2 linked regions of the Arabidopsis thaliana genome follow. The protein of the gene in region 1 purifies or fractionates together with the protein of each later gene. This does not show direct contact. Each region holds a gene or a part of one and is shown on either strand. Other genes may lie near its edges.

Region 1 (3,660 bases):
TACTTAAGCCATAAGTTGTTAACTCCAATTCTCCATACACTGACAATAAACCTTCCATCACTGCCACATTCCAATCAAAGAATTCAAATTGTAGCAAAGGATCCATTTTGATAGACGAGAAAAGGCAAAAGTTGAAAGCTTTCGAAACCAGAAATTGAAAGCACCATAGATACAGATAAAAATCTGTAGACCCAACTGAAGAAATCTAATGATGTACCTGAAGAGAGAGTGTAGATAGCTAGAAACCATCTCTGGAACCGAGCGAAAGAAGAGGAAATAGAATGATCAAAGCTACCAAAAGTTCTGTTTTTGGCCAAGTAAGGAAACAGAGATATCGATAAAAATGTGGAAACGAAGAAGAAGATGAAGAAGCTTGAGCTTGGTTCCCAAATAAAGGTCTCAATAACGACACCCATCGATCCAAAATTCACCGGTAAATCAGCCGGAGAAAGAAGTAAAAGAACAAACAAAAAAACTCAATTACGTCGGAGAGAATTTGAGATCTTGACTGATGTAAGTGGTGCACAAAAAGAAATGAAGCCCAATATTATTATCAGGCCAAAAGGCCCAATAACTATCCCACCCAAAAAATAGTCTTAAGTTGAAGTAAGCTACACAAAATTTTGTTACAATTTGTTTTTGTATAATATTTCTTGACCATTGACATCGCCTTTCACATTTTTTTGAACATGTTTTTTAGTCTTTTTTTTTTCTTTCTTATATGTGTGTGCAACAAAAAAATTCAAGTTCATAGCAAAGATTTAACGTTGGTTGTTTCTAGATGTTTGAATTCACCACAACGCAACTAATCGCCAAAGATGTATATCAAATATGAAAAATTGATTTTTTAGATATTTGAATCTCTCTTAGATCTTTTTAAGAAAATATTTATCGCTCTTTTAATTACTCTTCGATCCTAAAACATTATCTTGGCCACAACGATTTTGTGAGACCAATGGAAATACTAGAAGATTATGGAGTTCAATTTTCAAGATAATTCGAATTTGGTGCGAAATCCAAATTATCATGATGTTGATGAAAATTATGATTTTGTAGGTTTTTCTTTCAAATACTTAGGAAATTTCAGTAAAATAGATAAGATTTTATGAGAACTAATGGATAATGAGGATTCATGATGTTGCATATTTTTCAAGGTTTAACATGAAATATGCAAGATTCTCAAATCCAGATTTCAAGAAGCCATAATTTTGAGATAAAATTTATAGCATATGCATCAAAACACAATAATAATTTAAAACAGAAATTACAAAATAATCATTTCCAAATTTTGATTTTTTGCCCAATTTGAATTTATGTTAAAATTTCTGAATCATGTTTTGGCCGAAAAGAATATGATGAAATCATATGTTAGATGTCAAAATTACGGAATCATCTAGAAAAAATCAAAATGAATTCTTCTAGAAGTTAACAATAGAAACCACTCATTCGCCGGGTGAAATCAATTGACTGACGAGTTGTCTACTAAACGAGCGTTAGTGTGAGTTAAACCTCTAAAGTTTGATAGCTCGAACTACTATCGAGATTCTTCGGACAATCTTTCTTAGTATCATCTCGATGTTCATTGCTATACCATCATTTGCTCTCTTATACTCAATAGACAAGGTAGTAGTTAGCTCGTGCAATCAATAAAAAGCGGTCATATTTTGTGTGAGTGAGTGACTCATTTTTTTTGAAGAAGATAAATCGTGTAGGTTATAGCTTATAGAGACCTAATAAAATTGACATTTACTAGAGTCTGTCCTAAAACAACAAAAAAATAATTTTCCTTTATTTTTAATTTTTTAATTGTAAATTCTGTTTTGTTTTAGTTTTTTTAGAAGTTAACAATATAAACCACTCACTCCCTGAATAATATTAATCCTATCATTTTGCATGAATGAGTGAGTGTCTCAATTCCTTTGAATAAGATAAACTGTACAGGTTATCAATTAGCAAAAAAGAATCTTTTTCTTGGTTTAGATTGAAAACATATTTGTGTGTTGGTCAACTGATTTATTCAGACCAAAAAAAAAAAAAAAACCTCAGTCGTTTAAACGTTAAAGGTTCTTGTTTTAACGGGCCTTAAATGGATAATAAGTCCGAAGGCCCATTATGTTGAATTATCTAGAATCCAAAATAACTTTAGGTGATTGGTGAGTAGGCGAATTAAATGTAAGTGGACATTACAGAAAAAGAATCAAGTGGCATCGTTTTTTTCTTTCTCATATAAATCTTTTCACATTAGAGTCGGCATAAAAATTCCATTTCGTATTTTTCTCTTCTTCCTCTTCTGAAAAATTAGGGTTTGAGTTCTTCTTCTAATCGATCAGAAAGATGGGTGGAGGAAACGCACAGAAATCAGCCATGGCTCGTGCCAAAAACTTGGAGAAGGCTAAGGCTGCAGGAAAAGGTAACAACCAGATTCAATTTTAGGGGTTTTTAGTCAATTTCAAAGATGGAGATTTTAGCCGTAAAATCGTGTTTCTTAATGATTTTTGTATTTGATCTCTCTTATAGGTAGCCAATTGGAAGCTAACAAGAAAGCTATGTCGATTCAGGTGATCACTTATTACTTTATATCATCGTCTTCGAAATCATCGAAATATTACAATTATTGGTTACTAGAATCAGCTTTTCTTAATAAGAATCCAATTATTATTAGTCCTTTGGAATTGTTTATGTAGTCATGAAACGTAAGTTTAATTGTCTCATGTTGATGCACAATTTCTTGTTGATCCTGAAGCTTTGTGTTAATGAACTTGTTATTTCTTGTTGATCCTGAAGCTTTGTGTTATATTAACTTGTTATTTGTTGATGTGTGTGTTTATATAGTGCAAGGTTTGTATGCAAACATTCATCTGCACGACATCGGAAGTGAAATGCAGGGAGCACGCGGAGGCGAAGCATCCGAAAGCCGATGTTGTCGCTTGTTTCCCTCACCTCAAGAAGTGATGAAAGCTATTATCTCAACTATAAAGGATTCCAATGTATAACGTATGGATCCTCATCTTTCCTATGTTTGTATCAAAGTCTCGACAAATTTTATGGTTTCTATTTCTCTCTACTTGTTTCAACAATAAGTCTCTTGCTATGATTATATAATGAAGCTTTGTGTGGAACCTTTTTTTTTAATATAAGTTGGCTTCTTTTCGCTGTTGATTATGTTTCTATGAAAGTAAAGATTACCACAATTTTGATACAACAAAATCATTACAAAGTTTTTGGTTGAAAAATAGTAGTAAGCATCATCAATCAAGCTTCGGTTTTACTGAGTTCGTAGTCTGCTGCTCTCTGCGGCTTTAACTTGAGCGAAGTATGGATGATCCTATAGATCAATAGAGAAACCAGAGATTATAAGTTTGACTTGATCATCGGGTAAAACAAAATCAAAAGATGTGTGCACATGAAGATCATCGGGTAAAACAAAATCAAAAGATGTGTGCACATGAAGAGGATTTTTACCATGGCTTCTCTTGCGGTTAATCTGTCTTGATGATCATACTGAAGAAGCTTATCGAGAAAATCAATTGCCTAAAGATGTATACAATGAGTCAATACACCCAGAACGAAGCAAAACTATGTTTTTCGAAAAAGAGTAGTACCTCAGGTGAGACCAAATGTTGGTTGTCCGCGTTGATAAACTTGGACCATGGTTTGGGG
Region 2 (4,159 bases), on another chromosome or scaffold:
AATACAATCAAGGTAACGAAGGAGGATCAGCGAAAGGATGGGCTATATTTGGAGTTTTTTCCTGCGTGTAAGTAATGCTTTGTGATCTTCCATGCGGACATATAACTGAAGAATAAACTCAACTCATTGTGTTCTGGTGTGTTTCTTCTGATCAGATTCCTCGTTGCATCTGCACTTTTCTGCTGTGGGGGCTTTATTTATAAAACAAGAGTAGAGCGTGTGGTAATCTTCATATCTTTCTACAATTCCACTTCCATTCTCTAATTATTCTCTCACGTGATATACACACACTCAATCACTGATGTACTCGTATGGATGCAGCGTGGAACTGATGCATTGCCGGGGATGTCACTTCTATCGGGCTTACTAGAAACTGTAAGTATTACAAGAAAACTCAAAAGGATTCCATTTATGCAAAATCTAAGAGAAAGCTCACTGTGGTCTTTGGTTACAATTTATGGATCTCTCAAGAGACAAATGCTATGTAAGCTAATTGATTTTGGTCTTGATAAACAGGTGAGTGGAAGTGGACAAAGCTACTCAAGAACTGAAGACATCAACAATGCTTTTGCCAATGAAGTCTCATGGGACCGCTCTTCCGCATCTTCTACTCAAGCGACAACAACACAGAGACCAAGTGAAAGAACATATGGTGCGATCTAATTTTGTCAAGTGCCTCACAAGAGGTACTGTTTCAAGCCATGGTATGGCACGCTTGTGATCTGCGATTTCTGGATTTTGCTTTGTATGTTTATTTTCTACCTTCTAGAAAGAGGTCAAAAAGTTAATAGCTTCACCGTGAGAATGTTGTTTTCACCAGATTCATGTGCTATGATAGAAAAAGACAAAGCAAACAAGAGTTCTTTCTTTGCTTAGGTTACAAGAACAAGAGTATCGTTATAAAGTCAACAAAGATTGAAACATATTTTTGTCAAGGGAGTGGTTAGAATCTCTTCCTACTCTCTTGCCTTTCTCACTAAGACAAAAAAAAGACTTGGACTTTGTCTAAGGTTTTGTGGATATTATTAACCAAGTCCTTTTGCAAAAAGTAATATTGTTTTTTCGCATTCCTCTTTTAGAATTTAGTTTAATCTAGGCTTTATATTGGTTATTACTTTCTTGAAAAATGATCTGTTTATTCTATTCATACTTGGTTACCTCGCTTTTTATCTTACTTCTACAAAAGGATTATCAGTGAAAGTTAGTCTCTTACTCTCACCTTCCGAAAATAAAACAAAAATATCGATACTTCTAGATCAAACCAAGTTGATTAAAACATCCCTATTCCCTACGATTCTGATCTTGAGATATATTATCATGTTAAGATCTAAATTGACAAGAAAACTGATTTTTCATTTCTAGTAGGAAAAATAATTACTATTAGTGATCATGATTGTCGACCGTAAGAGGTGGTTTAGTTACTCTCCATCTTTCTTTGAAGAAGTCAGAAAGTCAGAAATTATATCAAATTAAACATCAATATTGAACACATATATCTGTATGGTTTTATGTTTAGAAAATTCCAATATTTATATATTCCTAGGGAAAAAGAAGCTTATTCTTCAAATTATTGTTATGAGTCGTTAAAATATGGATAAAAATATAAAGTCTAAATATTAAAAACTCAGTTTGCTTTGCTTTTACCTCTCCAAGTCTCCAAAGTCAAATTAATTTTAGTTAATTAAACCAAAAAAGGTTTATTAGTCAAACTTAGCATGCAATGCTGGGTACCAAACCCAAGCATTAGTCTCTTTTAATCTTCTTTTTCTCCAATAAGTTTTTACAATTTTTAATTGTTTGCATTTCCCTTGATTATTTATCTTCATCCCAATTTAGCTAATACCAACTCCGTTTCTTATTCTTCCAAGTCTTTTCCTATAAATACGTTCTTCTTCCCCTCTTATTTCATATCACTCACCACAAAGTCTTCTCATTTCCTCATCTTCTTGTTGAAAGTAATGGCAAGACTCACGAGCTTTCTCCTTCTTCTTTCTCTCATCTGCTTTGTCCCTCTCTGTCTCTGCGACAAGAGCTATGGAGGCAAACTTTTCCCGGGTTATTACGCCCATTCATGCCCACAAGTCAATGAGATCGTGAGATCAGTTGTAGCTAAAGCTGTTGCTAGAGAGACACGTATGGCTGCTTCCTTGTTGAGACTTCATTTCCACGACTGTTTCGTTCAGGTTTAGTTAATTTCTTTTACGTTTCAACATTTTATGTTGTTTTAAGTTTACTTGCTAAACAAGGTAACTGTGAAATGTAGGGTTGTGATGGCTCTTTGCTTCTAGACAGCAGTGGAAGGGTAGCGACTGAGAAAAACTCAAACCCTAACAGCAAATCAGCTCGTGGGTTTGACGTAGTTGACCAAATCAAAGCTGAACTGGAGAAACAATGCCCTGGAACTGTTTCTTGCGCTGATGTTCTTACCCTAGCCGCTAGAGACTCCTCTGTTCTTGTAAGTTTCCTCCACAATCTCTATTTTCTCGAACCAAAACTGAAACATCAGCTAACTCGGTTGGTTTTTGGTTTAGACCGGTGGACCAAGTTGGGTTGTTCCATTGGGAAGAAGAGATTCAAGAAGTGCAAGCTTGAGTCAATCGAACAACAACATCCCTGCACCAAACAACACTTTCCAGACCATTCTATCTAAGTTTAACCGTCAAGGACTTGATATCACTGACCTTGTCGCTCTCTCCGGTAAGCTTTCGTCACTCTATCACAGTTTCTTGCTTCACACACATGGAACACAATTAAAAAAAATCCATTATACATTACTTGCTTCTCAAGCCACCACACTTCTCAAATGTTATCTCAGGTAGTCACACAATCGGATTCTCGAGATGCACGAGTTTCAGACAGAGGTTGTACAACCAGTCCGGAAACGGCAGTCCAGACATGACATTGGAACAATCCTTCGCTGCTAACTTGCGCCAACGGTGTCCAAAATCCGGTGGGGACCAGATTCTCTCGGTGCTAGACATCATCAGCGCCGCGAGCTTCGACAACAGCTACTTCAAGAACTTGATAGAGAACAAGGGGTTGTTGAACTCGGACCAAGTTCTGTTCAGCAGTAACGAGAAATCGAGAGAGCTTGTGAAGAAGTATGCAGAAGATCAAGGAGAGTTTTTTGAGCAATTTGCGGAATCGATGATCAAGATGGGAAATATCTCTCCCTTGACAGGTTCTAGTGGCGAAATCAGGAAGAATTGCAGGAAGATTAACTCTTGATTGAAACAAGAAAACTCTTCTTATATCTTGTGGAACAAATGTGAGACATTTACTTTTACTTTGGAGTGTGTTTTGTTTGTTTTTTTCAATTCTGTCATTTGGAAGTTTTATTTCGTGTTATTTGCGTTGTGTTAAGACATAAGTTTGAAATTTATAAAACTTGTACGAGGAAATATTTTGAAATTATAAACTTTAAACTATTATTGGGCCTAACCGAACCTAATAATTTATGAATTCAGAAAACACTAAATCTTAAAACTGATAGGCCCATAAAGGCCCATTTCACATCCCACTAGTTAGGGTTTATGCTTTCTTCTCACATTTCAGCTTCAGATGCACTGACATGAATTCTCAACGAAGCTAAGATCAATTCGATAGAGAGTGAAAACTATGAGGAATCTGCGAATCATCTCCTCTCACTTCTCACGAGTTTTGAAATCCACCGAGACACGCTCAAGTTCCGTTCAATTATTCACGATCCAATCTCGGAGCTACTCATCTCCGGCGACGCAATCGGAGAACGTGTCCAAAATCGTCAATGAGCTATCGAATCTCACTCTTTTGGAAACAATGGATCTTACTGAGATCCTTAGGCAGAAGCTAAACATCAGTGAATTGCCTGTGATGGCGGCGATGATGCCAGGGATGTCATTACCGGGATCTGGAGCTAGTAAATCCGCCGGCGGAGAAGGGAAAGAGAAGAAGAAGGAAGCAAAGACTGCGTTTGATGTGATGCTTCAAGCGTACGATGCAGTGTCGAAGATAAAGGTGATTAAAGAAGTGAGAACGATTACGGCATTGGGGTTGAAGGAAGCGAAAGATTTGGTGGAGAAAGCTCCAACATTGTTGAAGAAAGGAGTTAGTAAGGAAGAAGCAGAGAAGATCATTGAGAAGTTGAAGGCTGTTGGAGCTAAAGTTGCTATGGAGTGAC

What was found.
Region 2: the proteins of AT2G23090 (region 1) and AT4G36430 fractionate together in Arabidopsis thaliana (co-fractionation; one large-scale study listed by BioGRID). This does not show direct contact.

What each region holds. Positions count from the first base shown.
Region 1 is NC_003071.7:9,828,949-9,832,608, reverse strand, and holds AT2G23090 (Uncharacterized protein family SERF), read left to right. Parts: upstream 1-2,174; 5' UTR 2,175-2,334; coding exon 2,335-2,410; intron 2,411-2,517; coding exon 2,518-2,558; exon of another isoform or gene 2,559-2,806; intron 2,807-2,832; coding exon 2,833-2,952; 3' UTR 2,953-3,159; downstream 3,160-3,660. Other genes in the region: AT2G23093 (Major facilitator superfamily protein), read right to left, coding at 1-60, 218-416; CKA3 (Protein kinase superfamily protein), read right to left, coding at 3,266-3,325, 3,463-3,531, 3,603-3,660.
Region 2 is NC_003075.7:17,203,717-17,207,875, reverse strand, and holds AT4G36430 (Peroxidase superfamily protein), read left to right. Parts: upstream 1-1,842; 5' UTR 1,843-1,958; coding exon 1,959-2,183; intron 2,184-2,263; coding exon 2,264-2,455; intron 2,456-2,531; coding exon 2,532-2,697; intron 2,698-2,815; coding exon 2,816-3,228; 3' UTR 3,229-3,491; downstream 3,492-4,159. Other genes in the region: AT4G36440 (G-protein coupled receptor), read left to right, coding at 1-67, 156-222, 322-375, 517-663; AT4G36420 (Ribosomal protein L12 family protein), read left to right, coding at 3,619-4,158.